Caenorhabditis elegans: one gene and its partners. The protein of the gene in region 4 purifies or fractionates together with the protein of the main gene of each other region. This does not show direct contact. Each region holds a gene or a part of one and is shown on either strand. Other genes may lie near its edges. The genes, in order: icap-1, ccm-2, hip-1 and kri-1.

Region 1 (6,909 bases), on a different chromosome or scaffold from region 4:
TTTCAAGAACAGCACCGGCAAGTGTCAATCCGTATGTGGTGTAGGAGAATTTGGAGCCAGGTTTTTCCACAAGGTCGTCATTTTTGAAAATGGCAAGGGCGTCGAGCGAGGAATTGTATGGCTTGTTCGAGAGAAATTCGGGGGTTTCTGTGTTGTTGTTGGATGGATCTTCGTGTGTTTCGGATTTTTTCTGAAAAAAATACTTATTTTTTAATAGTATGTGGTTAAGGAATTTGAAATGAATTCCAAAATATTAAAATTCAATGAAAGTTACCGTACTTTCTAAAGGCACATTGGTGAAAAAGCACAAATGCTCAAATTCGCTTCGAGACCCGCTAGGGTTCAAAATACTGTGCGCCTTTACTACAGTATGTTTTTTGTTTTTTTTTTCTAATTTTTATTATTATTTTTATGAATTTTTAATGTTTTGCGCGAATTCAAGGATTTTTTTATTGGGTTTTGTATAGAAAATAATCTAAAAACTAGTAATTAATATAATTTTCTCATCAAACAACTGTTTCTATTGATTTTTTCTAAGTTTTCCATCGATTTTTATTTATTTATCAGTGTTCTCTGCTAAACTCGCCAGCTAAAGCATCAAAAACCTTGGCCTTGGCCGAAAAACTTCTCGGCCATGAACATGTGATGGTGTCTTGTGTGCGCCCACTACTTCTCCATTCTTCTTTTTGTTATCGCCGAGAAAAGTGATCTCTGCTTTAATTCTAAATGTTTTTTTCTGGAATTCCCTATTTTTATGCACAAAAATATTGCCTTTCGTTGCTAAAAATCCATGATTTAACGTATTTCTACTTTTATATTAATTTTATTTTTTAAATATAATAAATTAATTCCAGACAAATCACAGAAATGTCGCTTCAAATCAGTTCAGCCGCGAAAACACTCCTGCACAAGTTTGCGTTGCCAGCGGCAACTTCAGTTGCTCAGTATCACGAGAAGGTAGGTTTTAAATCATTTTCAGGCGTTAAAAAATCAATAAATTACACATTATTTTCAGGTTATCGATCACTACGAGAACCCGCGAAATGTCGGATCACTTGACAAGAACGATCCAAGCGTCGGAACAGGAATCGTCGGCGCTCCAGCTTGTGGAGATGTCATGAAATTGCAGATTCGAGTGAGTTTTTTCACATTTTCCGGGGAAAAAATTATTATATTTTAAAGCTAAAAACATTTCCAGGTCGACGATAACGGAAAAATCATCGAAGCCAAATTCAAAACATTCGGATGTGGAAGTGCAATTGCCTCATCTTCCCTGGCAACCGAATGGATTAACGGAAAAACTATCGATTACGCGTCGAAAATTAAAAATGACGAAATTGCCAAAGAATTGTGTCTTCCACCAGTCAAACTTCACTGTTCAAGTGAGCTTTTTTCCCTATTTTTCTCGATTTTTTTCGCAACTAAAAATGTTTCAGTGCTCGCCCAAGACGCCATTCAAGCCGCTTTGAAGGATTATCAGAAGAAGCAGACTAAGAAGGCCTAAGCCTGAAGAATGTGTAATAGACAATTTGTTTTCGTTATAGAAATCGCTATATATAAAAGAGCTTTTTTGTCACCTTTTCAGTTGCATAATGACGAATTCCAGCGGAATGCGACAGAAGCTGTCTCATTGTGATTTTGACGTCTTCGTTTTTGAACTTTTTCGCCGGGAATTCAGGAAGATATTTCTGAAAAAATTAATTTCAGATTTTCCCTTCCGTTTTAAGTTGCAAACCCGAATATCCTCATCAAGATCTAATGTTCCATTTTCAACGCACTGTGCTGCCAACGTGGCAGTTATCGGCTTACTGATGCTCGCAATTCGCATCACAGAATCTCCTGTACATTTTGCAAAACTTTCGAGATTTGCATACCCAAATCCACTTTTCCAAACCATTTTTCCATCCAGCGAAACTGCAATCGAAAGGCCTGGAATACCTTGAATAGCCTGAAAATAATGTCGAATTGGAGAAAGTTATTACACAGACTTGGAATTTAGAGATTTTTCCGCAATTACCTGGTCTCGACACGACAAATTTTTGTTAAATATGAGAAGGTGTGCGCCTTTAAAGAATACTGTAATTTCAAATTCTCATTTCTGTGGAATTTCAATGGATTTTTCACGATTTGTCAAAATATGAGTGTTCTTACTGTTTTTTACAGAAAAAATCGGGGTTTTTCCGATAAAAATATAATTATTTAGTAAAAAACAGGAAAAACACCTATATTTTAAAAAATCGTGAGAAAAATTCCACGGAAACGAGAATTTCAAAAGTGACAGTACTCTTTTAAAGGCGCACACCCTTTCGCATTAAACAAAGTGTCGCGTCGAGACCCGGCACCGTATTTTTGGTACAAAAATCGCAAAATTTCGAGTTCCCAACCAACCATCGTCGTCTCCACTAGCTCCTTGGCTTTTTTGATTTTCAGCAAATTTTCAGATTTTTCGCTTTCCCTCCGGAAAACTGTGGCTCCCAATGGAACAGCAACAGCGGTGGCACCAAGAAGCATCTTTGGACAGGAAGTGTACCATGACATGCTGGAAATTTTTTTTAATTTTTCCAAGCTCTGCGAGCTAGTGACAAATATTCCAAAGATGAAGCAACAAATGGTTCTAGGTGGCAAAAAATAACTTGAAAAATTAAATTTTTATTTTATGTAACAAGCAAAAAAAAAGAAAAAATTAAGCAATCGACGGAGATGGCGGCTCAATTACTTCGATGAGAGCACTGGCTTCCTCGGCTTCGATGAAAGCGTTCTGAAATAAAATAAATGACTATTACGAAAACTATGAAACATCCCAAAACCTTCACTAAATTACACAAAATATTAGAAGAAGCGTCGTCAGTGGCCTGAAGAAGATGGAGTTGGTATCGTGTAGTTGTGCTTTTTTCGACGAAGACTATGTTGGTTCTGAAATTGTTATTAAAATTACGGTCTCAGGTCTCGAAGCGAACGGAATTTTTTCTTGGTGATTTTCATCTAATTCATAATTAACCAATCGCACCTTCCAAATCCATCGGCATACGTCGTCAAAAGTATCAGCTCGATCAGTGGAATCCTCAGTTTCACTAATCGTGTTCTTCTCGAAGAAATCCGAAGTCCGTGCTTGGTGACCTCCATGTAAACCTTAAAATTCAAAGTTTTAATTATATTTCAACAAAAAACGGGATCTTCTGCGATTTTACACCAAAATTACGGTTTTGGGTCTCATCGCGACAAATTTTTGTTAACTATAAAAAAAATGGTGTGCGCCTTTAAAGACTACTGTAATTTGAAACTTTGTGAGTTTTCACTGATTTTCCAACGATTAATAACTGTTTTCTTGTAAAATATATTTTTTTATCGAAAAACAAAACAAAAAGAAAATCGATACAACAACAAGAATTACACGTTACAGTATTTACTCTTTAAAGGCACACAACCCTTTGCAAATAACTGTGTCGTGTCGAGACCGACAAAAATTCTGCGTTTGTGTAATATTCCCAACCTCCTCATGAGAATCCCCGTTGTTTTTCGGTAATTTCCCTAAAAGTTGGCTATTTTCCAAGTGCTCAACAATTTTTTCCTCGAGAGATCGACTGCAAGACGTTCCATTTTGAATTAGAGAATTTATCTGGAAAATTAAATGTTTTTTTTCTGAAGAAAACCTAGTAAACTTTAAAAAATTCCTTACCTCTTGAACTGCCACGTATAATGCTGAAATTTTCGGGTCTGTCATTTTTTTTTTTGAAAAATGTTCAAGCGAGTTTCTGGCGTCATAATGTTTGCGGAGGACTCCCAACTGATAAAAACCTTCCCCATTTGAAGTGCTGGCGGTGGCCTAGAAATCTCAATGAAATAAGCAGAGTTTTATTTTCAAGTAAAGGACAAGAAAAAATCAATAAAAAAGATTTTATCGTTGAGCGGGTGGGGTGTTCGTCACACTTGAACCAGTAGTCTCGTCGGCGATTAGTTGACTGTTGAAACGAAAAGCATGAGGAGTTGCAATTGTCGAATTTTGGAAATTAAGAGTTGTATTGTCACGGAATGGGGTGCGCTGAAATTTGAACAAATTAAAATATTTTTTTGAGTTGAAACAGTTCGGAAAAATGCTCAAAAATTGTGTGAAAATTGGAAATTGCCGGAAAAATCGATAATGTAGCTCATTTCGTAGAACTTCTACTAACCGAGTTCAAATTAGCTCCATATGGAGTGTGGGGTCCAAGAACAGGCTTGAATGATGGTGTAAGCCTATTTGTTAGTCCGGTCTGAAGCCCGGGAAGCCCAGAAGGAGCTGGACTAAACCGTTGGGCTCGGTAATGGGCAATTTTTTCTTTAAGATTCTCATTCTCCATGCTCAGCTTCTCAAAACTATCCATATTCTCGGCGGCCTTTAATTTCTCGTTCTCCAGCTCCTTCCTCAAGATTCCAATAGTTTCAGTGAGACTCTCAACCATCGAATCTTTTTCCTTCAAATCAGCTTCCAGCTCTCCTAGTTTTCTCATATCCAGACTTTGTTGATTCTGTTGTTGGGAGTTTCGCTTCAACAGCTGATCGGCCTTCTCCAGGTTCCGTTGAGCCGTGCCAAGTTCTGCTCGAAGCTTCCCAATTTCTTTCTGATGAGCCACATTTCGTTTCTGAAGCTGATCCACTTTTCCTTGTTCTTCTCTCAACATATTTCCAACAATCTCCAGCTCCTCCTGATTTTCTTCCAATTGCTTTTGCAGCGACTCCGTGTCTTGTTTCAAATCAGCCACTTCATCTTCTTTATCCTCAACTAATAATCGAATATTCTCTCTTTCCTCTTTCACCAGCTCCACCTCATCTTCCAGCTCTTTAAACTTTTCTGACATTTCTTCGAATTCCTCCTTCACACCAGACAGTTTTTCAACTTGTTTTTCCAAATCTCCACATTTCTGCCGTAGGCTTGCTAGCTCATCTGCAGATTTATAAAAAGTGGAGAGTTTCACTGCTTGACTGGAACAAATTTTCAGAAGATGTGAAATTAAATGATCTCCGCGGACTGCGTGAAGCTTGATGGAAAAGATTTTTCCTTTCGAAATAGGAGTCTTCGAGAATAGCTCAAATCTGGAAGAAAATAAAAAATTAAATTTCAATATTAGGTAATCTATTTCCCTTACGAGCAAAAATTCTTCTCGGCATCCAAAATAATATTGATTTCCGTCGGCTTTCCTGGATCAGCAATACTATGATAACCTGCTTTTTTCCGTGCATCAACCTCCCCATCTTCTTCCAAATTTTTCACAATATTTTTACATAACAAGTGTTGAATGATAACTTTCGGAAAAGCATCGAAATCCACTGTTAAATCGTGATCTCGAGCCAAAATCTGATATTTCTCGTTGTTCAACGTTTCCGAGAATAGAAATTCAAAATCATCGGAGCGGCTGATTTCGAATTTTAGCTCCTTTTCTCCACTGGTTTCGTTCCTTTGCTCTGATATTTTCAGCTTAACTTTTGTTTTGTATGCCCTGAAATTCTGTTACTTTTGAAAATCGTTTGCTCCCTTTTCTTACTTAAAATCCGGTTGATTTAGGCTCAACGGCTGTAGAAGTGAGGCGATGAGTGTTTGATCGAATAATGCAATTTTGCTAGTCATTTTTGTGGGAGAAAATCTGAAAAAAATTATGTTAAAAATAGGAAAAAACAGCAGAAAATGAAGAATAAAAAATTTGCGCAAAAACAATAAATTTGAGATGGCGCGCTCTATGGGACTACGGTGTGCGATTGCGGACTTGGCAATTGCGGACAAAACATTGTAAACTACGCCTAACAAAAAATCGCATTTTCTTTTTTTTTTCACAAACTAAAATTCCCCATTTCAGCCCATTTTCCGTCAAATTTTCACATTTTTGAAGATTTAATAAGGGAAAATAGAGAGTTTCCCGCATTTTCAATCATTTCTACAATCCTACGTCGTTTTTTTCTTGTGTGAGCCACTTATCCCGTTTTTTAACAATTTATCTCATTTTTCAGCTTTTTCAGCTTTTCCAGCAAATGAAGCGCATCCAGTCGGAGCTCTTTGCTCCTTATCGATTCTTGGGTGTGGTAACCGGTGATGTAAGCTTTTTTTCCGAATCTGAAGTGAAATTACTTATTTTTTCCAGGTCGCCCCGTCAATTCGTTCAACATTTGTCGCAAAAAAGTCGGCATTGTCAGTTTTGTGCCCAATTGATAATGTAATCATGCAATACAATGGAAAAAAGCTTCGTGCGATTGGAATGTCGGAACCTTTAAGCGATAAAGTGTCAGCAGTCGCGTCTTCTAGCACGTAAGCGGTTTAGAAAAATGCAAAAATAATTATATATCATTTCAGGAGCGTGTTCGCTGCTCACGGAACCAACATTACTTCTCTAGCATTCTGCAGAGATATCAAAGATTCCATCGACTTGGGCGCCAAGATCAAAATCATGACATTAATCGGAACTCAGCTGATCGCAGTTGATATTTCTTCTGGAATCCACGTCATTGATACATCAGAAGGAGGCCTTCAAATGAGCCTATTGATGGAAGGATCCGACGATTTTGAAATAACGGCAATCTGTCACCCATCCACGTATTTGAATAAAATCGTGGTCGGCAGTAGCACTGGTCGAATGAAAATTATCAATTTCCGAACTGGAAAAGTGATTCATGAGTTCCAGCGAAGTTTCGACTCGAGAATCACAATTATCGAGCAAACTACTGCCTTAGATGTGGTAGTTGTAGGGCTGGAAAATGGTGAAGTGATGCTTTTCAATGTGAAAATGGATAAGATCATCACATCGTTCCGACATGACGCAAAGATCACTAATGTCGCTTTTCGGTGGGTTGTGTTTTAAATTGAAAAATATTATTTAAAAAAATTATTTCCAATATTTTCAGTGACGACGGCGAATCAACAATGGTAACTGCCGATAAGAACGG
Region 2 (8,182 bases), on a different chromosome or scaffold from region 4:
ATTGATACAAAATGTGGATGGAACTTACCTCGTTGATCGCCTTACTGACAACCGATGATGATTGATGACTCGATTCGGTGAGAGGAGTGTCAAGATTTGCTAGCGGAGAGGATCTGGAATTTTGGCAGAAATTTGAATTTGTCGAGAAAATCTGGAAAAACTCACGCTTCTAGTGAGGACAGCGATTTTGATTGGCCTGAAAAAAGACGTTGTTTAATGATTTTTGACCACGATTGAAACAGAGAGAAAAAATCAAAGCAGCAGACACCTCACTGGTTTAGAAGAAACTTCCTATTTTGTGCTATAAAATTTAGCGACTTTCACTTTTCAAACAGCTATATCTTTGAAACTAAGCAAGCTATCAAAAATTTGCCAACTGACAAAATTTAGGAATTTTTTTGTAAATTATTTCGATTTTGGACAGTTTTCTGATGGCTTTGTCAGTTTTCGAGATATCGCAGTTTTAAGTAATTGGTGATTTCAGCAAAGCGTTGGCCCGTAAACTGTCGGCTGCTATGAAATTACTAAATTTAAAATGGGATTTATTAATGAAACAACCATACAATTTATAAATAAACTCTAAAATATATATCAAAACCTGTTGCAAAGTCTAGCAGCCAACATCTGACGGGGCCCAAAATTATAAATACATGGTTTTTGACCCCGTAAATTGTCGGCTGCAATAGCCTGAAAAAAAGACGTTTTATTGGTTTTTCAACTAAAAAGTACAACAAATTTAAAATTAACACTGAAATATATCAGTTCAACACTTTTCTATCAGCCGACATTTGACGGGCACCCAAAATTTTGATTTCCTATTTTTAAACTGCTATATCTTCAACGCTGAAAGTGCTATCAAAATTTTGTCAACTAGAAAAATGCAGGTCATTTTATGCTTTTTAATTTGCTAGTTGAAATTGTTTTGCTATCTCTTGTAGTTTTTGAGAAAAACGTGCTCAAAGAGCGCCACAGTGCAAAACAAAAGACGCAAAGAGGAGAGAAACGCAGAGAAACCAGAGTGTCTAACTGTCTGCGCTCTCGCCTCTACTACAGACTATGTTCTTTTGCTATAAATGACAAACAAAAAAATGAGGTATTACTAGTTGACCAACCAGCCTCTCTCTCTCTGCAACCTAGTCGTCGTAAATATCTTAACAACAGAACGGGTGGGGCGAGAGACGAGAGTGTGCACGAGAGACGCAGACGGTTAGACGGGTGAAAACTGGAAAACTAGCCATCTCAGCCACCCAACCAACCTACTAAAACAACATTTTGAATCAGAATATATTTTTCTTTTACTTTTGATGCCTGATGAAAATATATAAAAAATGAAAAACAACATGTTATTGTTGGCAGCGGCGGAGGAGAGGGAGGGACGTGCATAGCTAGAGAGGGAATATCTCAAAAACTACGAGTGCTAGAGAAAAATTGTCAACTAACAAATTATTTTGCAAAAAATTTCCTATATTTTGTCTGTTGATAAATTTTTGATTACACATTTAGTTTTGTAGATATGAAGGTTCAAAGTTTGGAATACAATTTTAATTAATTTGAAAAACAAAAACTCAATTATCTCCAAAACTATTAGAGATAGCAAGAAGTTGCTAACTGAAAAAATATTTGGCATAAAATTTCCTACAATTTGTTCTTTAAAATTTTTGAATAGCATTTCTAGATTTGGCGATACTGCAGTTTTAAAATAAGAACTACCCTTTTAGAATCCGCAAGATGTCGGCTGCAAGCCTTTTTTTTAACGTAAAGAGAGTTTGTTTTCATGCTTATAATATGATACATTTTCCATTTCGAAATATTTTTCGAAATTGGTTGATTTCGCGAGCAGCCGGCATTTTACTGGTTTTCAAAGAACCACCTGTCAGATGGTGCAAGAGGTCTAGAGTAAGCTTACAAAAACTCATTTATCACAAAAACCATTGAAGTTATATAAAAGTAGTAAACTAACAAAATATTTTTCACTAAACTTCCTACATTTTGTTAGTTCGCATATCTAAAATAGCATTTTTAGTTAAGGAGATATACAGGATTCAAGTTTCAGGGCGAGTAAAAAAATTCTAGGCTGAGCGAAGCCGGGAAGTGTCGGCTGCAATTTTTAAGGAAGGTGCAACTTGCTCATTTAATTGCTTGATTTTTAAAAATAGTTAACAATTAAAAAGCTAAAATTAATATTCATTACAATAAATGAAAATAAAATTGGGTCTTTAACGAAAAATTTGGAAAATTTAGAATTTGTCAAACTAAAAAAATTTCAAAATCAAAATTCGAACTTGTATAAATTTTAACTTTACATTTTAATCTTCAAAATATAGCTATAATTAAGAATATCTAATAAGTTTTGAAACAAAGCAGCCGACGTTTCACTGGTTTTAGAAAAATACAGCTTGAATCTGCTCAATAAATTTGTTTTTTTTAACTGTTTTTTTTTAATTTTTAAAATTTTTGAAAATTTTCAACTAAAACGCAACCACAAACAGAAAAGTTAAAAAGGAGTAATCATGAGAGAGAGAGAAAGAGTAAAATTTGCAAAAGACACACAGAAAGTGAGAAAAAGAAGTTTGTGTGCGTTTTTTCTCTAAATCTCTCGCCCGCAGTCACACTTTCGCGCGAGAAAATCTCTTCGGCTTGGGCAGGAAAAATAGTGTACGGAGTGGAGTGATTAGGGATGTTAGATGAATGGTCAAGGAAACATGTAAACTGATAAGGAATTGATGATCAGTGAAATCGGGAATCGGAAGATCAATTTCAAGAGATGATATTTTCCAAGAGCAGCTCCCAGTGCCAAACTTTGAACGTATGTATCTCAGAAACTTAATTAGCTTTCAAAAACTTTTGAACTGGTAAAATTTAAGAAATTTTGTGTATGTATATTTGTCAGTTGATCACTTTTCGGAATCACCGGTAGTTTGGGAAATATTGCTCTGTTTGAAAATAGGACGCTACAATTTAAATTTGCAGAAAATGTCGGCGGCGCCCGTGAGACGTCGGCCGCTATCTCATAAACTAGAAAAGGTAGAAAAAATTTGCCAACTGGAAACGTAGGCAAATTTGTACACTTTATTATTATAATTGCTCACTTTCTGAAAGCATCAATAGTTTTAAAGAGTTTTAAAGATGATATAATTTTAAATTTTGAATGGCCAAATTTGGCGCCCGCAGAATGTCGGCCGCTATCTCAAAAACAAGGAAAACTATTAAAAAACCTTTAAGAAACAAAATGTAGGAAATTTTGAGCGTGTTTTATTTTGTTAGTTGGTCATTTTTTGATATAATATTTAATTTTGAAGATACTAACAGTTTTAAATAACATAGCGTCGTTTTTACGGTTCCCGCAAGATGTCGGCTGCTATCTCAAAAACTGGGAATGCTATCAAAACTTGTCAACAAAATTTGAATATTTTTGTGCATTGCATTTTAGTGAGTAACAAATTTCCAATATTTCTGTAGTTCTTTACTTTAAAAAAAATTGACTACAAATTTGAGCCAACACAGATTAAAACAAAAAGTATTAAAGTATAAAGTTTCAGTTTAAAATTCAAAGTGAAGAGAGAATAAAGAATAACAAAAACTTACGTGACGCAGTCTGTAGTTGTTGTTCGGCGAAGCGTGCGAAATTAAAATTCAGCTCTTCTGATAGCTTTTCGGCCGTTTTCTAGAAATATAATTTGTATAGAATAAGACTTTAAAAGTGAAAATTTTTTTTTTCTAAACAAGCAGCCGGCAAATTCAGAGTTCAACAGAGCAGCCGACATCTCGTGGGCTTCAGACATGGAGCTACCAGACTTTGAACTAATTCTTCTTGAAAAATTTTTGCATCTAAAACAAACTTCTTGCCTCATCAGGAAGTGCCAAAACCATCAAATCGCGATAATTTATATTTCCCTGATATGGTGCAATATTGAAAGTGAACAGAACAAGACCATCTTCCGTCAATGAGCCGCAGGAGAAGATCAGGGGAATTGAGACCTCGAAGCAGCAGGTTTTCTGGAATTTTTTGAATTTTCATGTACTTTTAACTAGGGAAATCGGAAAATTCGGTAAAAATTGAATATACAAATTGAGAATTTTGAATTCCGATTTTTTGGAAAAAAAGAGATGAAGCTCTAAAGTTCGGTGGGCTCGGAACTTTTGTTTGTTTTTTTTTTCTTTTTTTTTGAATTGAAATTTCTTCTAACTGTGCAAATACCATAGGTTGAATGTTCAAAAAACCAAGGTAATTATTGACATTGTATAACTGAAAAAATTGAGTTTTATTAATTTTTCGAGAATACAAAACATTTGTTTTCTCAAACCTGATATGGCTTTACTGCTTGAATTTCAAGAAACGTGGGTCCCTCCACGAATTGGTACAGTACCCCGGGGGGTTTCGTGGCGAAACTAAATATATTTCAAAATTACAGTAACTTAGTAATGAAAAAAAAAAACTAAAAAAATGTATTTTTTAAAAAAAAGGTCCTATTTTTTTCCATTTTTTTTTAAAATTTTAATTCCATTGTCAAAATTTGACTTTTTGCTGTTATAAGCTATAAATTAAGTTGGATCATGCTCTCTTCACCCAAATTCAAAGAAAAATTGGGTCCCACCACGAAAAGCTACAGTACCCTCAAAAGTTTTCGTGGCGGGACTCAAAACATTTCCAAATTACCGTAACCTGATCATGATTATACTCATATCAAAGCTCTCAGTGATCTAGAAAACCTATAAAAAAACGAACCAATTTCCTGTCGACCACCACAATTTTGCCATGCAGAACTTGAAGGATGTAGGCGCGAAAATTCACATCGTGGCGGGTTATCGATTTTATCGATTTATTCTTCTGAAATTATTTTGTATAGGAAATTTTAGAAAGTCGATTGAAAATTATACCTTAGCCTTGTCGTAAATCCTCAAAAAATCCGTTCGTCCAAAATCATCCAATCCGGAAAATTTCTCGTTTGAAATTATTCCAATAAACTGAGAAATAGAGATATTGTTTAAGCGGTGGATTTAATTTTTTTGTGTGAAAAAGTTTTAAAAAAATTACGGGAAGCTTTAAATTTTATTGAAAAAAATAAAACTGAAAAAATCGATTTTTTATGAATTTTTTTCCAATAATTTTTTAAAATTCATTATTTTAGTGTAATAAATATTTGAAGCAACACATTTTTTTATTTCGAAAATATTTTTTTTTTCCAATTATTTTCCAAACATTATTGTGAGGAAAATTTCAATTAAAAGGAATTTATATGTATTTGCTTACATATTTAAAACTTTTTTTTTTAGAAATCTATAAGAACCCGATAAAAAATCTTACATCAGTGGCAAATTCCGAAGTTGAAGCGTCCATTTTCTGAAATTTTTTGAAAATTTTTCAATAAAAAAAAACTTTGAAAACTTTTTCAAATTTAATTTTGACAAGAAAATAGTGCAAAATATTTCTGAGAAATAGAGAAAAAAGTAGAAAATAAAACAAACATTGGAGGCTAGACGGGGGGTAAACAAATAAAAACTTCGCTCGTACTTTTCCGGCAAAAATTTGTGCCGAAAATCGATAATTTCCTTATCAGTTTTATCAGTTAGTGATAATTTTGGGTTAGGCACACCCTTTCAGTCAATTTTACTGAAAAAAAAAATTGAAAAGTTCCTAAAATTGTATATGCTTTCTCACTAAAATCAAGAAAAAACGCGTTTTTTCATTGGAGCACGCTTGCAACATGTGGTCGGCGATATATTTGAATTTAACAACTTTATCACTGATTTTTTATGTTTTACAATTAGTTTGAAACATTTTAAAATTTCAATGGAGCTCGTGCATAATCTGACTTTTTTTTTTGAAAATTTGAACAAATGTTAAATTTTTAAAACTGTACACTGGAGCGCGTTTGCACCCACCACGCCACAATTCCCGGGAAAATTCAAACTCTCAAGTACAAAACAATTCATTTTATAGTGTTTTTCTTGTTTCACGAGATCAAAATCACAAATATTACATTTTAAAGGTACATGGGGGAAGGGCGGGGGTACTGTGGCTGAAAAAATTGGAAAAAAGGAATGTACACTGAGGAATTGTAAAAAGGGAGGGTTGGGGTGAGTTGCGAACGAAAAAAACAATTTCAAAAAAAAATCACAGTGGAGCATGTTTGCGCGGCGCGGGTGTGTGGACGGGGAGTCCCAGTGTTGCCAAGGAAAACAGTTTCCGGGGAAACGAAAACCCGGAGAAATGGGCGGAGCCTAAGAAAATTCGAAGCCACGTCCGCAAAAGTGTGTCCGCCCTTTTTTTCGCGGATTGATTTCTCGGGAGTTCAAATTCTGTGGAAACTCTGAGACTTTGGGGGGTCGGGTAGATCAAAAGCGTATTACTGTATTAAAAGGACATCATCAAGCGTGAAAAGCGGGTGTAGGGGGCTCCGGTTGCTGCTGTGAAGCTTGTTTCTGTAGGCGATTGCTATTTGAGGAGAGACGGAGCATTTGAAGCTGGCGGATTGCTGCGGCTGCGTTGTAAGCCTGCAAAATTTGAAATTATCGATTTTTTCCTCAAGTATCGGACATCCATACGAAATCAGTTGAGAGCTCTGCGTCTCTTCTCCCGCATTTTTTGTAGATCTACATAGATCAAACCTAAATGAGACACTCTAACACCACTCAATTGTTAACGAAAATGAGAAATATCGATTTTTTGGAAAACGAAAAAAAATTATTGATTTTTCTCGGAAATTGAACAATGAAAATTAATTTTAAAAATTTTGAAAATATTAACGAATTTTTCAAATATAAAACATCGAAAATTACCTTTTTCCAGTTCCGTTTTGCCAAACTCTTCTTAAGATGTACGGCGACAGTTCCGTGAATATCGTGTGTGTACGCCGTATTTCCACTGATCCACGGATGTGACAGAGCATCCTGACACGTGAATCGGGCTTCTGGGTCACAACACATTAAGTGTGTGATAAAATCTTTAGCTGCAAATTTTCAGGTTTTTTGGCGGGAAAATTGACAATTTTGACCTACCCGAATCGGAAATCTGATCCCAGTAGGGCGCGTCGAACTCGTATTCTCCTTTGATGATCTGTGCGAATAGGTTTGCATCGCTCTCGTCGTAGAATGGTGGATATCTGAAACAATTAAAAGTTTTCGCTTCATTATTTGAAAATCTATTAAAATTTATTCAAAAACTTCAAAATTTTAAGGAAAATCTTCAAATTTTCGGCAATTTTGTCATTGGCGCGCACTTTCTGGGTTGGAAATTAGAAATGTTCTCTTAAAAAATTTGAATTTCCCTATAACCTCCGCAAATACCGTGAATTTGACGTTTACCCGGCAGGTGTCGGCTGCTATAAGCTCTCATGATGTCCGGCGCCTTGTGATCTCTAGAAGCGTCTGCAGCCGACACCTGCCGGGTTGTCGTCTGCTTCATATCTCGTTAAGTCGAGCAGCCGACACCTCCAGGGTTATTAGCATCCAACACCTAACGGGTGCCAGTGGTTTTTCCTAATCATTTGATGTGCCAGCAGCCGACATCTCCCAGGTATACCCCCAAAATTAACTCACCCGCAAAGCAAAATATACGCTATAACTCCAATCGACCAAACATCGACTGCTTTTCCATACGGTTTCTGCTGTAGGACCTCTGGTGCCACGTATCCCGGTGTTCCACACGCTGTAGCCATTACTCCTGAATCTTCGGTTTTTGAAAGTCCAAAATCTGAGATCATTATTTTGGAGTCCTCGTCTTGGTTGTAATATAAAAGGTTTTCAGGTTTCAGGTCACGATGGACGACTCCGTTGTCGTGCATAAACCCGACTGCTTCCAATACCTGAAAATAAAAACTTTGCCAGATTTACACCATATATTTTTCTACAATTTTCTAATTCACAACTTTTTGATCTCTTCAACTGAAAATCTCACCTGTCTAATAAGATTCGACGCGTCCTGTTCCGTGTAGGACCCTTTTGCAACAATTCTATCGAAAAGCTCTCCACCGGTGACCAGCTCCATCACAAGATACACAAACTGCTTCTCGTCGTATGTATCGAATAGTTGAACAATATTGTTGTGTCGGAGCCTGAAAATTTCAAATTTTTCCAGTTTGAATTCGTTTATAGTCACACATGGTTTGCTCAAATTAAAAAGGGGGTACAGTAGTTTTCGTGGTGAGACCCAACTTTTGTCTAACTTGATCAAATTCGTCTC
Region 3 (7,959 bases), on a different chromosome or scaffold from region 4:
GCAAGTGACAGATTCAAGGGATCTTTCCAAGTGGTAGACGATGACAACAACGTACAACCGAAAAGTAACACACAACACAAGGAAACAACAGCTGTGCCGCCGCAGCGGACTCACAACTGAGCAACACGGAAATCAAAGAGAAAAGTAGGCTTCTTCTACAGCATCTTCTGCCTCTTTTCATCTTTCTCTCTGCATATGTATCGAATCAGCGATAACACTTCCCATCTTTCCCTCTTTTTCCCTCTCTCTTCTCACTTTCTCAAAAGCTTCTCCCGGCATCATCACAACTCGTCGGGTCCCAAGCCGCCCGTGTGCTCGGCACATTCAAAATTGAAATCCTCGCTCGAAAAACGAACCCCTAAATAAAATTGTGCGCGAATCTTTTTAACCCCAAACTTTTTCAATTCGATAAATTCTCTATTTACTCCCCACTTCCGAAATCTCTACCCATCAGGCTCGGGGCTCATTTCTATTTGATCTAAATCCAATACAAATGTGCAATCCCAACTAGATGCCAACCTATTATTATCCCATTTTTATACTTTTGCTCTTTTTGAGCACCTCATGGGGTGAGTTTCGTAAATTTTCCAGACAGTAAATTCAAAAATCTAGTTTCAGCCGGCCCCACAGTTCTGATCACCGGACCATCGTGGAACAACTTAGCGAAATTCAATGTTCTGCTTGATTTCGTGCCAGAAGATGTCGTGGAAAGTGAGTTAATGGATAGAGCGCAAGTTCAGAGAAAAAACCGTAAAATTCAATATTATTCAGACAATAGCTTCTTCAACTCGAACATTGTTATCTTCAACGAGGCTTATCAAGATTCCATGCTGAGTAACTCAAAAGTCTATGAAATCGACAGTGTCTCTTTGAAAAACAATGTTTCTACGGTGGTTTTTGTCAGTGATTCCGCAAAAGAGCATGATGAAAACCTGAAGGCCATTCTTAGAACTGAAAGATCATTGTTCGTAGTGGAATTCGGCAGAAATAACCAAAAACCATGGCAAGAGCTGGCCGATTGCTGGGCAACATCAGAAATTGCGTCCACTACACAAAACAAAGTGTATTTTTGCAATAAGGTGGGCGAAAGATACATTCGATGGTAAAAGTCTTTAACATTTCAGAAAAGCCAGGAGATTCCGTTTGAAATTTCAACAGAGCTAATCTTAATCCAGAAACCCGTCGTTCCAAAAATAACTTCCTTCTTTTATGCCAGCGCCACCAAGCACCGAGTTGATAGGAAAAAGGTTTGCTCCCTTCATAAAACTAGAATTTGTCAAAGAAACTCAATTTTAGGTGGAAGAGGAGCTGGAGGACGAGATTCAGGATATTGTCGAGGAGTCCATGAGAACCGTCGAGAGAAGGAAGAAGCATGACAACGACGACGATGATGATGATGAAGACGGAAATGAATTTGATAATAGACATGACCCAAAGCGAGATCATCGCCTCCACTGCAAATACCGCAAATCATGCTATGAGTCTGGGAAACGAGGGCTCATAGAGCCATTCGACATTTCCTTCGATCATATTTTCCATTTTTGGAGAGCTCCAGCAACCCAACAGCATCATCTTCCAATAACTGAAGACGCAGATCAGGATGGTGTTCCAGACTCTGAAGATGATGATGTCACCCTTGCAGATCGCAAGTTTGTGTGCAAATATCGAACATCATGCTACAAGGATCACAACATACCGTTGAGTGACAAGCTTCAGGAGCGAGAGAGAAGTTTCATGAGCGCCAAGCTTCAAGTTCCGCAGGGAAAAAAACGAACGTTGAAGGATATCGCAAAGAAGGCTGTCAGCGGGGTAAAGGAGAGGGAGGAGGAGGCGAAGGCTCGTCCCGTCCCGAAATCCTTGATAGTGGAAAAGAAACTCCAAGAAATTGAGAATCAACTGCAGAAGAAGCTGGACTGCAAGTATCGCAAGTCGTGCTACGAGACTGGACAGCTTCCAGAAATCGAAGAATCGGCTTTCACAAGCTTCTCGATCCCATTTCTGTCAAAGGGGTCTGATAATGATGATGATGATGATGATGATGATGATGACGAGAAAGAACAGAAACCATTCGAGGATATGAATGACTTGGAGAAAAAACACCACTGTAAATATAGAAAATCTTGCTACGAAACCGGAGAAAGACCAGAAATCGAGAGCGAACTAGCTTTCGAGTCATTCCGGGACATTCTCGAGATGCCGGATAAAGTGGAAACACGGAAGTTGACACTTCAGGAACGGTGCAAGTACAGAAAGTCTTGCTATAAAACTGGAATCATTCCGGATCTCAGCAGTGATGACGAACACATCGAGAAAGTCATTAAGAAGGAGGTCAGCTCGGTGGTTCCATCAACCGTTCGCGATCTTAAGACACTGTGCAAATATCGCAAATCTTGCTATGAGGAGATTAGCGAATCTGCTAGTGTTGATATTGTGCAAACCATCAGGAAAAGACGGATGATAGAGAAGGAGGTGAGAAAACGAAGAACAAGACGTCACCGAAGACTTCACAAGCGTCATGCGATGATGAGTCGGTACGGAATGACATCAGGCTCGGCGAGTAAGTACGACAAGGTCGAGAAGACGCAGAAGGAGCTTCAAGACATTGCTGATGCCCGGGAACATCGGAAAGATGCACCAGCACCAAAATCTGTGAAGCTACACGGAAAGAAGAAGGCGATGAAAGCTGCAGTGGAAGACGTGATCGAGCAGAAGATCGTAGAAGCAGTGGCTCAGCAAGACGTTGATGATAATGATGATGAGTCAGAATCAGAACCAGAACCCGAGAAAAATAGTAACAAGAAAAACTCAAAAAGGGTGAAGGAACCTGAGCCTGAACCAGAAGAAGAACCAGAGCCTGTAAAAAAGTCGAAAAGAAGCTTGAAAAAAGTGAAGGTGGCTGTTCCTGATCCAGCGCCCGAGTCTAAAGATGAAGAAAACGAGGAGTCAGTTTCTGAGCAGGAGCCTGAGTCAGAGTCTGAACCTGAGCCAGCCAAAAAAACTAAAAGAAGCTTGAAGAAAGTGAAGGAGCCGGAGCCAGAGCCAGAAGAATATGAACAACCGACCCCAGTACCCGTTCCTGTTCCGGTAAAAATGGTCATTAAGAAGCAAGAGGAGCCGGAACCAAAGTCTGATTTAGAAGAAAATGACAATGACGACGATGAAGGTACTGAGTTTGACAACAAGCACGACCCAAAACGAGACCACCGTCTCCACTGCAAATATCGCAAGACTTGTTATGAATCTGGCAACCGAGGACTCATCGAGCCATACGACTTCTCCATCTGGCACATTGTGCACTTCTGGGCCGCGCCACCATCTCAGACCCACCATAACTACGGAAAACACAAAGACTCTGATGGCGACGGGGTTCCAGATATTGAGGACAAGGACGCTGCAATGGCCGATAGAAAGCTTTCCTGTAAATATCGTCCGTCGTGCTATGAAAAGTACGATATTCCGGTTGGAGAAAAGATCTTGGAGAGGGAGCAGAAGAGAACAGAGGCATCAGATTCTGAGGAGAAGGATGATGATGATGATGATAATGATGATGATGTTGACGATGAAGTTAGAAAGATAAACTTGAAGGCCGCCGATCGCCGTTTGGAATGCAAATATCGAAGATCTTGTTACGACAGCGGGGTTCTTCCAACCATCCAGCAGTGGAGTGAAGCTCCAACTCTCACTGAAACTATTGCCCTTGGCTCGAAAAATGCAAAAATGCAAAAGTGCAAATACAGAAAGTCTTGCTATGAAGCTGCAGGAATCACTGACAAGGATGATGATGTAAAGGACAATGAGGAACGCCATCTCAAGGAGAAGCTGAAGCCTGTAGAATCAGAACGCCACCACCACCACCATTCCAAACACGGGAAGAAGAAGCATCAGGAGCCCGAGGATGAGGAGGATGATGATGAAGAGGAGAAAGAGGAGAAGCAGAAGAACAAGGAAGAGAAAAAGGAAGATGCGAAGATCCACGAGCAGACTGATAAGGAGACTATCGAGCAAGGTGTGAAGGATATCTCCTTGTCAGCCGCGGAAAAAAGCTGGTGTAAGTACAGAAAGTCGTGCTATTCATCAGTGGAACCGAAGGCTGCAAAGCAAGATCACTCTGGAACAATGGCCAGGAGAGGTAAGCCGTTTTAGCTTTTAAATACTACAAAAAGGATGGCAAATCTTGAGAAAATATCAACATTTCAACTCTTAGCTAGCTTTTTCACGAAAAAGTTTTAAAATTGAAATGAATACAATTTTTTTTCCGAATTTGCGTTACTATGAACCTCCAAACTCCTCTTAAATTTCAGAAGGAAGCGGTAAAAAGTGTCACATCTACTACTTGTCTTGTCGCGAAGCAATGGGTCTTCCACCAAAGAAGAAGGCACCAATGGGTCCCAACGGCAAGCGGTTGTGTCGCAAAGTGAAGAAAGACGACTGATCTCCCTGTTTCCCTGTGCCTTTTTTTTTAGTTTAGTAACACCCGGCTGAGCCATTTTATCGGTCATATGTCATTTTCCCGTCAATTCTTGTAACTATTCAGACAATAATGACGTTTAGACTTTCTTTTTTCTCTGAAATAAAATTTTCAAATGCAATTCTTACATTCGGCTCGACCTCCTTGAGCCACTCGTTGGCGGCTTCATCGTAATCCAGTTTGCAAGCTGTGGCGAGGTCGGTCTTTGCCTCGACCCACTTGCCGAGAAGACGATTGGCACGACCGCGGAATTTGTAGCCTTGTGCCGAGTCTGGGTTGATAGAGATCGCTTTGTCACAATCAGCAATCGCTGCGACCGGACGTTTGAGCTTAAGAAGGACGCTGAAAAATGCGATTATTCAGGTTTTGAAAAGAAAATCCTCACTTGGCTCTCTTGGCGTGAAGCATTGCAGATCCTGGATTAGCCTCAATTGCGGCGGTGAAGTGAGTGAGGGCTGTGTCGAAATCGCCGTTGGAAAACGCCTCTTGGGCTTTTCCTCTCTCCTCGGAGGCCTTTTCGATCTCATCCTCGGTGGCTTCTTTGGCAGAGTCTCCCATTGGCAAAGCCACCGCCTCTTCTGGCTCGATGACTCCCTCGTTGTCAATTTTCGGGAATGGAATCTCCTCCGGCTTCGGGATTTCTGGCTCTGGAGTTGCCTCGGCGGCTGGAGTTTCCTTCTTTGGCTCCTCAGACATCGGGCACTTTCCTTCTGGCTTGTCAGCTGGTTTTGGGGGAAGAGTGGCTCCAAGGCTGAAAATGTGGCACATGTTTGAGCTGAATTTGTACTAGAAAACTTACGAAACAAGGTAATCCTTAAAAAATCCAAATTCCGGGGCGTGCAAAACCGCCGGGTTCGCTTGGCACATGCCAACGAATTGCTTGAGCAATGCGACGTGGTCCATTTTCTGGAAGGTAAAAGCTTTGGAGTTTATTTTAAATCATTTAAAGGAATAGGTTAAGAATCAAAAAATAGAGAATTGAAGTGTTTATTCAATTTGTTTGGAAGTGTAAACAATATTGCAAACAGCACGTGATGCCGCCAGAGGTGTTCCGACTACGCAAAGAGGGGATTTAAAGTGAAAAATAGATAAATACCTGATAATTTAGATCAAAAAATTAGAATAACGCCTTTTAAACCAAAAAACTCCTTTGAATTATCGAAAATTCTAGAAATTCTCGAGAAAAATAAATTTCAAAACAGGCATATTCTGTGCATTTGCGCGTGGGATCTAGCGCCCGTTGTGCATTGCGCCATGGCATTTGAAATTGGCGCCCGAAAATTTTTTGTTTTATATCAATTTTTTGGCTTATCGATAATTATCCTTGAAATTCTGCAGAAAAATAGATTTTTCTGTAAAATTTCGCAGGAATTGTATTCAGCACGTAATGTGCATGGTTTCCGTGGCAACTTGGGCGCTCTTTGCTTCTCTGTGCTCTATGCTCATGCCGCAACTCGAAAATTCGAATTTTAATTCTAATTGCCCTCTGTTAACCCTCTTTTTCCCGCCGGATAACCTCCAAACTATTGGTATCTTGTCGATGAATCGGTGAGAAAAAGTTCCGAACAACAAGAATTCGGGATGTTGTTCTTCCTCGCGTCTCCACCATCTCCACACACTCTCACGCGGTTGAACGGACAGTCAGGACACCGCCGCGCGGGGAAACTGCCCGTTTTGGTCGTCTCTTCTGCTGTGTGTGTCTACTATTCAAATAAACTCGCCAATCGATCGCCATTTCAGTTCATGTGCGGTGAATAATGTGTTGTGAAACTCGTTTTTCTCGGGAAATAGCCGAGAAAGGCTGAATTTTTGCTTGAGAATTTCTGGAAGGCATGAAATGTTTTCAGCTCTCTTCGAAAATCTTCTACCGCCCACCCATTTTCCTCCCGAATTGTTTCGTCCCCGTGACTCATTCTCTCTTTTATCGCCAACTTCTCACTCACTGATAATCGATTTTCGTTTTCATCCCGTCTTCTCAATTTTCCAATTTCAGCTGTGAGAAATGGACGATTTGGCTGATTGTCGTGAGGTTTTCGCCTATTTTGACAGCAAAGGCGACGAGCGAATCTCTGTTCAGCAGGTTTTTAATTCAATATTTTACTTTTTTAATCCAAAATTCATATTTCAGGTCGGTGATGTGCTCCGCGCGCTCGGCCAGAACCCAACAGAAGCCGAAATTCACAAATGTGTCGGCTCGTTCGATCGGGAAGCTCGGCTTTCATTCGAGGACTTTGTCCCAATTTTCCAGTCGGTGTCCAAGAATCGGTTCGTGGCGAATTTTCAGTTAATAAATTTCAATTTCTACATAATTTCAGTGAAAAGCACACCGTTGAGGAGTTCGTCGAGGGGTTGTCGCATTTCGACAAGGAGGGAAACGGAATGATCAATGTCGCAGAGCTCCGACACTTGCTCACCACTCTTGGTAGGATTTTGAGTGAATATTATCAAAAAATTAATATATAAGTAGCTTTTCAAAAATGTTCTGCTGGTCTATACAATTTTAAAGTTTACCCCAATTTTATCAATTTTTTTTCAAGGAGAACGCCTATCCGATGAAGACGTCGATCAATTGCTCTCCGGACACAACGATTCTCACGGAAACGTCAATATCTCGGATTTCGTACGCGCTGTCATGAACTCCTAAAAAATAATCGAATTCAGCTGATGTAAATATATCATTTCCATTAATTTCCTCGGCATTTTCCACACAATCTATTTATTTATCGACTTTTTTGCATCCGTTAATTCTATTTCTTATTCGCTCTCTCCCAGTTCACCAAAAAAAACTTGCAACGATTCAGTGAACAACTTTGTATCCTCCGTGTTTTAAGATGAATTTTTCTAAATTTTAATTCTAATTTCATAATTTTTGTATTTCGTGTTACATCTCACATGATATTTCTGTATTTCCTCTCCGTTATTTTTGTGGGGAAATCCATATAATTGCATTTTCAGAAAGAAAAATGGCAGATACAGGAGAAAAAGACACAGAAACGACGGCAAGTGGTACCGATGGACACAGTAAAGAGGCGCTTGCTGTAATAAGCATGCTCCACGAGTGTGGAATTCAAGAGTTTGATCCACGCGTCGTTTCAATGCTTATGGATGTGAGAAAATACAAAATTGAGCTCTAAAAATTCAAAAAATAATGATTTTTTCCAGGTTCAATACGCAGTGACGTCAAAAATCCTCCAAATGTCAAGTGGACTGTCCAGGCATGCTGAAAAAGCGCAAATCGAGGCAGAAGACGTTCAAACGGCGGCCGACATGCTCGGCGTTCTGACCACAAACGCTCCGGACCGTGAGAAGATTCTGCAATTGGCGAATGACAAAAATCAGCAGCCCCTACCGCAAATTCGACACAATTATGGCCTGAAGCTGCCCAACGATCGATTCTGTCAATTACAGCAGAATTTTGTGTACAAAGCTGACGACAGTTATCAGCCGTACGTTTTTTTTCTCGATATATCTTGAAAAATCTGTAAAAATTT
Region 4 (8,407 bases):
TAAAATACTCAACATAGTTTTTTTTTAAATCCTCAAATTCCGCTAAGGAGAAGCAAAAAAAGTTTTTTTAAAAGAAAATCCACTTTTAAATTGTGTTTTTTCATTTTATGGCTATGTTTTGTTCGAAGCATACCTCGTTTGATAGGTTTAACTTTGATATTGCAGTATTTTTTGAGTTAATTTGACCAGGAAGATTCAAATTTGGAAAACCACTATTTTGAAAAAATGCTTAATTTTGTTGTTTTTTTTTCGATTTTTTAGTGCTGCATTTCAAATTTTCAGTAGATTATGAGTTTTTTCTTGAATTGTACATCTATCAGGAATTTCTGAAAATCCAAGATTTCAGAAGAATCGAGGCATGCCGTCAAGGTCTTTTAGCTCCAAGCCCATGCACAAATGCGACACACACACATTGTATTGTCAACTGGTACCGAACAGGAGGAAGTTCTGGTAATTGCGCTTTTTTCCTCTGGTCTCACTTTCCCGCCACCAAACCTAATTATAATAATACCGACATTACATTTTCTCTCACAGCTAATTAGAGGATGGTCCCGACCATACTGTTTATCCCTCCATATATTGTCCCATATTGTTTATATGTTTTTGCAGAGAAAATTGTGACGAAACGGCATTGTGGAATGGAATCTGATGTGACGGGATGCACTTTGTACAACTCGAAAATTAGCCGAAAGGTAGGTTGTTAAAAAGAGAAATCAAAATTCGACCAAATGTTAAATTTTTCTATTTTGAAAGTGTCAAACTCCCACTATCGAGATTTCAAATCTATTAGCAAATTTGAAACAGGAGTATCATTCGTTCGAAAATTGATCAATGCATTTAGGTCCGCCGACATTTACTCAGCAGAGACGATTCTCATGATCGCAAGGAATCTGTTGCATCGTTTGTTGAGGTTTGGTTTTTTTTCGCTTTTACTAATAGAGTTATTAATAAGACTAGAATAACTTTACAGTATTTTAGAAGTTATGAACTTCCAGGTTTGCTCAACATCATGCCCTATTGGAGAATGTGTGAACTCATCGAATCTTCGTGGAGGAATAATCTTCCCAGTCGTTTTTGCAGTTTTATACGCAATTTTTCATTAACTAATTTCCGTTGTTTTAGATTTAATTAGACATAATTCCTATCCAATACCAATTTTACGGTGTTTTTTTTCGAAAATCCCAATTCAACCGGTTCAATTTGCTATACTTTTCCCCACCAAATCTTGCTCATCCCATAAATTTTGAATATTTAAAATCCAAAATGACTTTTGTAATTTAATAAAACAATTTTCATGAATTTTGTATTTTGGCATTCGAAGTCTTCAGGTTGTAAAACTTCAATTTCAGAAGTGGTCTATAACTAATATTAGTAGTGTTGGTCAGAATAGTAACTTCTCTGATTTCTCTTTTTAATGTCGAAGATATTTATAAAAATTACAGCCTCAATGCTCACCGTAACAATTTCCATTCTTGCAGTAGCATAGGCATTTCTTTTTAGCTTAAGCCTTGGTGTTTCAAATGGAATATCTCCAACGAGCTTCCGTATTGTAGTATTCCACTTATCAACTTTTAATTTGCCATCTATTAGGGAGTCTGGTTGAAGTTGAAGTGCTGAAATATTAAGAAATTCATAAAATACTGAAATTATAAACTTACACATTGACTCTGAATACACAAAAAGGGCAAAACAGTTCATTTGTTCTCTATTCAGTTGTGTTTCTTCTGCCAATCTATCCAATACTTCTCCTACCGTTGCCTCTTCTGGAGATCGAGATTTTATACTGAATGATCCAATAGATGTATCCACCTAAAATCAAATTGAGTAGAATATTTGGCTTACAGATAGAACAATCTCACATTGATTTTAGATTTGAAGATTTGCAATTCGAGAATCTTTTGAATTGCCGGATGATTTCCACAATAATCAATAGGTCGGTAGCCTTCATTATTTTGAATATTAACATCAATTGAAGCATGAGATGTCAGAATTTCAACCAAGTATTCATTTCCATTTATAACTGCATACTGTAAAGCTGTTGCTCCTCCTTTGTTTTGAGCATTTATCTGAGGTTTAAAAGTTTTGAATGAGACATTTAAAATTGTCACCTCAAAAACATTTGGCAACAGACGTGAACAAAATTTCCAGATTTTATTTTGAACGTGTCTCTAGCGTTAAAATTCAAAGGTATTCTGTCGTTTGACATTCCGTAATTCCTCAAGTAGTATTGCACATCATTGCTAAGTTTTGGAAACTCGTAATTCGATTGTTTTTGTTTTATAGAATAATTGCTAACTGACAAAATGTTTGTTTTTCTTCTTTAGTATTGCAATTTATAACTTTCTATATCTGTAGAAGGAACCTAGATATAAGTTTTCAAAACGGAGTACCTGCGATGCTAATAGAAAAATATGGTAGGTTTTGTTTTGAAACTCAAGATTTGACTTCAAATATGTATCTTATTAAATGAAATATGCTGCTATTTCGAATAGAAAAAAGTCTCACGGCAGTCATTTGTGGCGAATTCAATAGTTCGTGAACAACTTCCAAGTGTCCATGAAAACAGGCATAATGTAATGGGGTCCAACTGTCATCGTCTCGTAGATTACTGTCCATACCAATTTTCAGGAACCTCCTAAAAGTTTCAAATTATTATTTGGTTTCGTAGGCTATTTCGAATTCATTGAGGCGCGAAAAAATACCTTTAGGTTTCAGGATTGAAAAAAAAGTTTTCATTGTAAAACCCCGGCCTATTTCCTTTAAATTTGAAGAATATTTACAGATAATGTAAATCTTTTATCTATAACGTTAAACCTCACCGTATCTCCTCAGCATTTCCATCTTCTGCAGCTTTATGCAACGGATATAGTCGACTTCTCATATCTTGTGATGTACTTGATGCAGCTCTTTGTGCCCTACATTGTTTAATTCCGGGATAGAAATATACACATGACTGAATATTTTTCATTATTTCAATAACACAACCAAAAAAAAACCCACCGAATCTTCACTAGCGAAATTTGGATTGAATGCAGGATTTATTACACTTATCGTGAACTTGTTGTACCGTAACATGGCAATTTTGGCAATATTTGCCACGTGGACACGATCATCTAAATCAGCGGATGCCGATGATACATTGCTACGGACACTATGAGACATGTGTCTGAAACATTTTAGGTGTATGAGTTTGGAACAAAATTTCTCCTGATTATTCTAAACTAAAGTAGAAACTCTGAAAAAAAAATTACAAGAACCTACCTAATACATTGTTCCTGAAGATCAATAAAAGCTGGATTATGCACACATGTCTTGATTCTTGTTCTCGAAGATTCTTTCATAAAGAAATGTGATAAGAAGTAAGAATCGAAAGTTTGTGAGTCAATCAACCATCGTTCCAATATCAGAATCATATTTTTTGTATGAATATCAAACATTTCTGGCTGATTGTGACACAGATTCACCATTTTTTGTAGATTTTCATAACGAGAATTTGCGACTTCAACTGATTCCTTATTAAATACTGGAACACATACAAGTGAAAGTCCAGGAACATGTCCAACAAATGGTTTTGTTGAAGATGATGGTTGATGCAGATCATCGTGTAATGGAATACGTACAGATCGGCGAATTATGTTTCTGAAAAATTATAAAATTTTTATGCAGAAATATTTGTCAGGTAAGTTGAAGAATTGAGTAGATTTCGAAAATCTTTTTTTTTTTGTGATTTTGACTTGGTGCCAGTATTTTGGAAAAATTGAACCCAAAAATATAGACTTGGGTATTGTTCAAGCCACTTAGGTTTTTTCCCAGTTTGATCTAAATTTTTCCAATATTTAACCAAAATTTGGATAAGGGAAAGGCAAGATTTGGTTCAAGCTTGGGAATAACTTGAAAACAAACATTTTTTATTGGGCCATTTGGATAAGAAATTGGCACCAATTGCCGAGTTCTCTTTTTTGTTGGAATTTTAGAACTTTAAAAAACAGAATATTAATTGTACGAAAAATCATAAAAATTAATTGGTTTCATAGTTTTTAAAAATCTTACCCAGTTCTCTTAAAATAATCATGAATCATATCTTCTAATGTGCTCACTTTCGATGGTTCAAAAGAGAAATTTGGGAGCTTGAAAACATCGGCTCCAATTGTATGTCCGCCGACGGTAACTCTCTTTTTTATATTATAATCCTGCAAAAATAGAAAAAAATATTTCATAGTTTGTTTTTCTCTTCCAATTACATGTTTTACTGGTCCAAAATTTTTTGCTGTAGATGGCTCTTCTTTGACACAAATTTCAAAATCCTGAGCTGATGGAATAGCTCTGAAAATTAAAGATTCCCATACAATTCATGAAACATCAACGACCCACTTACTTATCGGACAACGCACTTATTTTAAGACGTACGATTGCCACAGATACTTCCGCCATTTTCTCTGAAAATTATTTTTAGTGTGTGTTTTGAACTGAAACCAATGAAAAAATAAAAAATAAAGAGAAAATTGTGAAAAGCATATAGTTTTTAAAAGACTTTACATTCAAAAACTTGGGCTAACATAGTAAACTAAAATTTGGGAAGCCAATGAAGAATACAATTTTTAACAACCTAATTTGAAATTTCATAAGAACCGGAAAGATTTTAAAACATTTAATTTAAAAAAACATCAACTCAAACTAATCAGAAAACTCGTTAGAAAAACACATAAACAACCAATTAAATTTTAAACAAATTTCAAATTTCATAGATTAAACTACAGTTTTGCCTACAACATTCTTCACAAAAAGTCAATAACCTCCGGAAAAATATTGCTATAAAAGAGTTGACAAGAAGCAAGAGGAATCTAAAAACTGTCCAGGTAATCAGTTATCAGTTGCCACACCCTAAACTCCCCAAAAAAGATGAAAAGAGAGTGAAAAAGAGAGCAAGAGGCATAGAGACAAGGCGGTCGAGTAACAAAATGTGCATTGATTGGTTTGGCGGCGATTTATGTTAGCTAAGCTCTTGACACACTTATCTGGCTGTTTTATCAATATGTTTTATGATCGGTTGAAGTGGAAAAGCATGCAGTACGTATCTCTTGGTGACGAGTTATTTTTCAAAACTAAAAAATGTATCTTTTTTCAGAAAAAGGGTATTTACAAATTATAATAATCAGGTAATAGTTTATTAAACTCGAAATCTTGATTTTCAGAGTTTCAACAACGCAAATTTTGTTGTAACCATTCCAATACATATTATTTTTTATTTTCCCACAAAAAACTGTATAAACATCCTAACAACGCCCGACCCACCCTAAATATAAAATCAGTAGATGACATTCACGATAAGATAACGCGTTGAAATTTGTGGTTTCTCCGAATTTGTTAGTGTGTGCTGATGAGAAATAACTTTGATACTTTGCCCAAAATCTGCCGAATAACTGGCGCCAATCTAAAGTTTAAAGATGAAAATGATTTCATGATGTTGGGGAAGGTCTGAAAAACTACTTTCAAAACTTTGTCTTCTACAAAAGATGAATGTTTCACGCCGTTTGAATCATCAAAAGTCTGCAACAATGGATTTTGGAACAATTTTAGGACCTCTGAAAGCAGTCAAAAAATTAGTTGAGAATATTTCAGATAAAAAGTTAACCTGTTGAAATTGTAAATTCGTCACTCAACATTCTGCAGTGAAATGTCATCAGTAAGTAATTTAACGGGTTGCTAGCTTGACCCAACCAGTTTGAAATCTAAAAATCATTTAAATACTTGTGTTTGGTACTTTGAAGCTGCGAATTTTCTCAACAAAAAATGTATTGATTATTAAAATTAATTTATCCTTGACAAGCACTATTGAATATTGTATGATATTTTTTTAAACGTGAACCTAAGATTTCATTAGATGATAAACTTTTTGGAAAGTTCACTCTTCATAAAAATTTATTCCCGAACATCCAAGATGCCAGTTGCAAAAGAAGACTCTTGGGCATTCCAACCAATCGGATCACCATTTCCTGAAGCTCCTGTTCGTGTTCCAAACCAGAACAACCAATACGTGGCATTGTGGTATAAACATGGAAAACCAATTCATGGACGTGCTTGGAACAATGACGGGGTTGTCGAATGTTCGTTCCCATACAACAAAGCGGAGTTGAAAGGAAAACTGGATTTGGGTGGACAGATTCAAATTCTTCAGTACAAGGGAGACTACAATTCTCTTGGATATTGGTATGAATGGCTCCCGTTGAAACAACGTCATGAGAATAATGAGGGTATTCGTGAAATTGTCAGGTAACCTTCAAAATCTTCTAGGAAAACTCGTTATTTCAACAATTGTAGATGTGGAAACTCGGTTCCAGTCTTAGCTAAACTGAAGGATGGAACTGATAAGCTTGGTTTTCTGGATTTGAATACCGAAGTTGCTTTGTTCTCCAACGCTGGGACCACCGAGAAATACGAAGGCGGTGCTACTGCCAATTTCATGACAATCTTCCGTAATCTTAGACCTCCACCAACTGGTCTCAAGGTGAGCTTAAACTTTAACCAGTGCAGGGTGGAAAACCAGACCGAACCGGATGATCCGGCATCGGCGTAGTAAGCATGACGTAGGCACGTAGGCATACATGAAGAAATCATGAGTAAAAGGAAGCATGCACGTGGTGGATTAGTCGCAGAAATAAGAATGCCAAAATGAGATTTAATCTGATTTAACCTCTAGACAGGCAAGTAGGCAGCCGTAATAGTAGGCACGTAAAGTAGGCACGTAGAGTAGGTACGTAGGCGGACACCTAGCTATGACTATCAATGCATATTCTTTTTCAGGTTTATGATGATCTCTGGTACGATCTTCGCTACGGTGACAACTTCCCATCCAACGCTGTTCCAGCTGATGGTCGTGCTCTCAATACGGAGACGGGACCACATATGCAATATGTGGCGCTTTGGTACAAACACGGAGACCCAGTTTTTGGACGTTCATATCCTAGTTCTGCCGGAAAGACCATGGCTCATTTTGGAAAGAATAATCAAGAGAATGCTGGTCCAGAAGTTGGTTCAATGCAGTTGCTGACAGTCCCGGAGGCTTCTTGTATGGGATTGGAATACAAATGGATGCCTCTTTCTGAGGGAAAATCTAGTGGATGGACTACTGTACACATCGGCAACTCGGCTCCATGTATTTTGAAAGATGATAAGGGTCTGGAAGTTCTCGGAAATTTGGATTTGACTATTGAGAAGGCATCTGCTGGTTATGGTGGAAAAGAGAAGATTATGACTGGTGCGGCTGTGGCCAAGCTTAAAGTCTTGTTCAAGAGACGTTTGGCTTAGGGATAGAGAAGAATTACAGCTGGAATCTCTGATATTTCCGTTTTGAATAAAATTGAATATGAATTTACTGCAATGTTTTGCTAGAAAAGACGATACTTTCTTAGAGTAGCCACATTCTGCAGCATTTGACTAGAAATATCTACAACCAATCCAGATTTCAGAAATTGTGCTAATATGCTTGGAAAACTGCAATAAATAATTTATTAATGTAAAAATAAATTCTTGACATTTATAAAAATTCCATAAATTAAACCATATGAGCTCTGGCCACCTTTCTTCTCTTATATGGCTGGGCAGCTGGAGCAGCATCATGAGCATCAGCAACTGGAGCTGGCGATTCATAATCGTGAAGCTTTGGTGGAGCAACTGGAGCTGGTGGTGGTGGATGTGGAGCAGTTGGAGCTGGAGCATCATATCCCTTTGGTGCTGCTGGAGCTGGAGAATCATATCCCTTTGTTGCTGCTGGAGCTGGAGCTTCATAAGACGCTGGTTGGGAGTCGGATGATCCAGTTGCAGCCATCTCAGCGGATCTTGGTGGACATGGACAATAGGCAGCATCAGCTCCTGGAGCTCCAACCTCTCCAACATCCCCTGATGGTCCGTCTGGTCCTGGATGTCCTGGTTGTCCATCAGCTCCAGCTGGCCCTTCTGGTCCTTGTTGTCCATCTTGTCCATTCTCTCCTGGTTCTCCATCTCTTCCTGGTCCTCCTGGAGCTCCTGGTGCACCAACTGGTCCTGGTTGTCCTTGTCCACGAGTTCCGTTCTGTCCAACTGGTCCGTCCTCTCCTGGTGGTCCTGGAAGTCCTGGAGTTCCTTCATCTCCTTCTGGTCCATCTGGTCCTGGTTCTCCATCTTTTCCATTTGTTCCATCAACTCCAAAATCTCCATCTGGTCCTGGATGTCCTGGGAATCCATTTGGTCCTGGTGGTCCTGGTGGTCCAGCTGGGCACTTCACATCCTTATTGAAGTCAGCCATACGATCCCCTTCAGTTGAGTCACTTCCTGGATTTCCAGCTCTTCCAGCTGGTCCATCATCTCCTGGGGTTCCAGGATTTCCTGGTGGTCCTGGTGGTCCAGCTGGACAATCCTTTGGTTGTGGTCC

What was found.
Region 1: the proteins of kri-1 (region 4) and icap-1 purify together in Caenorhabditis elegans (affinity purification with mass spectrometry, with the first as the bait; one study listed by BioGRID). This does not show direct contact.
Region 2: the proteins of kri-1 (region 4) and ccm-2 purify together in Caenorhabditis elegans (affinity purification with mass spectrometry, with the first as the bait; one study listed by BioGRID). This does not show direct contact.
Region 3: the proteins of kri-1 (region 4) and hip-1 purify together in Caenorhabditis elegans (affinity purification with mass spectrometry, with the first as the bait; one study listed by BioGRID). This does not show direct contact.

What each region holds. Positions count from the first base shown.
Region 1 is NC_003282.8:13,783,108-13,790,016, forward strand, and holds icap-1 (Integrin Cytoplasmic domain-Associated Protein homolog), read right to left. Parts: upstream 3,728-6,909; 5' UTR 3,722-3,727; coding exon 3,677-3,721; intron 3,617-3,676; coding exon 3,491-3,616; intron 3,130-3,490; coding exon 3,008-3,129; intron 2,914-3,007; coding exon 2,808-2,913; intron 2,759-2,807; coding exon 2,684-2,758; 3' UTR 2,636-2,683; downstream 1-2,635. Other genes in the region: lact-9 (Beta-lactamase-related domain-containing protein), read right to left, coding at 1-190, 1,578-1,688, 1,736-1,948, 2,389-2,538; iscu-1 (NIF system FeS cluster assembly NifU N-terminal domain-containing protein), read left to right, coding at 868-957, 1,016-1,135, 1,199-1,382, 1,437-1,504; sas-6 (Spindle assembly abnormal protein 6), read right to left, coding at 3,896-4,039, 4,170-5,070, 5,124-5,474, 5,520-5,602; Y45F10D.7 (Small-subunit processome Utp21 domain-containing protein), read left to right, coding at 6,001-6,063, 6,111-6,274, 6,320-6,808, 6,868-6,909.
Region 2 is NC_003282.8:1,831,787-1,839,968, reverse strand, and holds the start of ccm-2 (CCM (Cerebral Cavernous Malformation) gene homolog), read right to left. Parts: upstream 5,342-8,182; 5' UTR 5,339-5,341; coding exon 5,306-5,338; intron 4,966-5,305; coding exon 4,879-4,965; intron 4,829-4,878; coding exon 4,727-4,828; intron 3,997-4,726; coding exon 3,847-3,996; intron 3,665-3,846; coding exon 3,586-3,664; intron 1,999-3,585; exon of another isoform or gene 1,944-1,998; intron 197-1,943; coding exon 166-196; intron 114-165; coding exon 29-113; intron 1-28. Other genes in the region: cmk-1 (Calcium/calmodulin-dependent protein kinase type 1), read right to left, coding at 6,370-6,495, 6,781-6,950, 7,000-7,103, 7,540-7,805, 7,898-8,054.
Region 3 is NC_003281.10:13,616,853-13,624,811, forward strand, and holds the start of hip-1 (STI1 domain-containing protein), read right to left. Parts: upstream 5,375-7,959; 5' UTR 5,372-5,374; coding exon 5,268-5,371; intron 5,220-5,267; coding exon 4,854-5,219; intron 4,811-4,853; coding exon 4,597-4,810; intron 4,593-4,596; exon of another isoform or gene 4,433-4,592; coding exon of another isoform or gene 4,302-4,432; intron 4,130-4,301; coding exon of another isoform or gene 1,297-4,129; intron 1,248-1,296; coding exon of another isoform or gene 1,125-1,247; intron 1,080-1,124; coding exon of another isoform or gene 772-1,079; intron 712-771; coding exon of another isoform or gene 613-711; intron 570-612; coding exon of another isoform or gene 512-569; exon of another isoform or gene 252-511; intron 1-251. Other genes in the region: T12D8.9 (Protein PFC0760c-like), read left to right, coding at 512-569, 613-711, 772-1,079, 1,125-1,247, 1,297-4,129, 4,302-4,432; mlc-5 (Myosin-2 essential light chain), read left to right, coding at 6,471-6,548, 6,597-6,733, 6,784-6,890, 7,006-7,112; taf-9 (Transcription initiation factor TFIID subunit 9), read left to right, coding at 7,432-7,575, 7,631-7,914.
Region 4 is NC_003279.8:8,236,202-8,244,608, forward strand, and holds the start of kri-1 (FERM domain-containing protein), read right to left. Parts: upstream 4,437-8,407; 5' UTR 4,432-4,436; coding exon 4,376-4,431; intron 4,324-4,375; coding exon 4,242-4,323; intron 4,191-4,241; coding exon 4,051-4,190; intron 3,640-4,050; coding exon 3,262-3,639; intron 3,167-3,261; coding exon 3,001-3,166; intron 2,954-3,000; coding exon 2,820-2,953; intron 2,636-2,819; coding exon 2,506-2,635; intron 2,067-2,505; coding exon 1,860-2,066; intron 1,810-1,859; coding exon 1,659-1,809; intron 1,614-1,658; coding exon 1,456-1,613; intron 1,302-1,455; exon of another isoform or gene 1,104-1,301; coding exon of another isoform or gene 996-1,103; intron 911-995; coding exon of another isoform or gene 842-910; intron 693-841; coding exon of another isoform or gene 610-692; intron 451-609; coding exon of another isoform or gene 347-450; intron 1-346. Other genes in the region: T02E1.8 (uncharacterized protein), read left to right, coding at 347-450, 610-692, 842-910, 996-1,103; nsph-2 (Nematode Specific Peptide family), read left to right, coding at 5,939-6,270, 6,319-6,505, 6,802-7,305; col-63 (Nematode cuticle collagen N-terminal domain-containing protein), read right to left, coding at 7,553-8,407.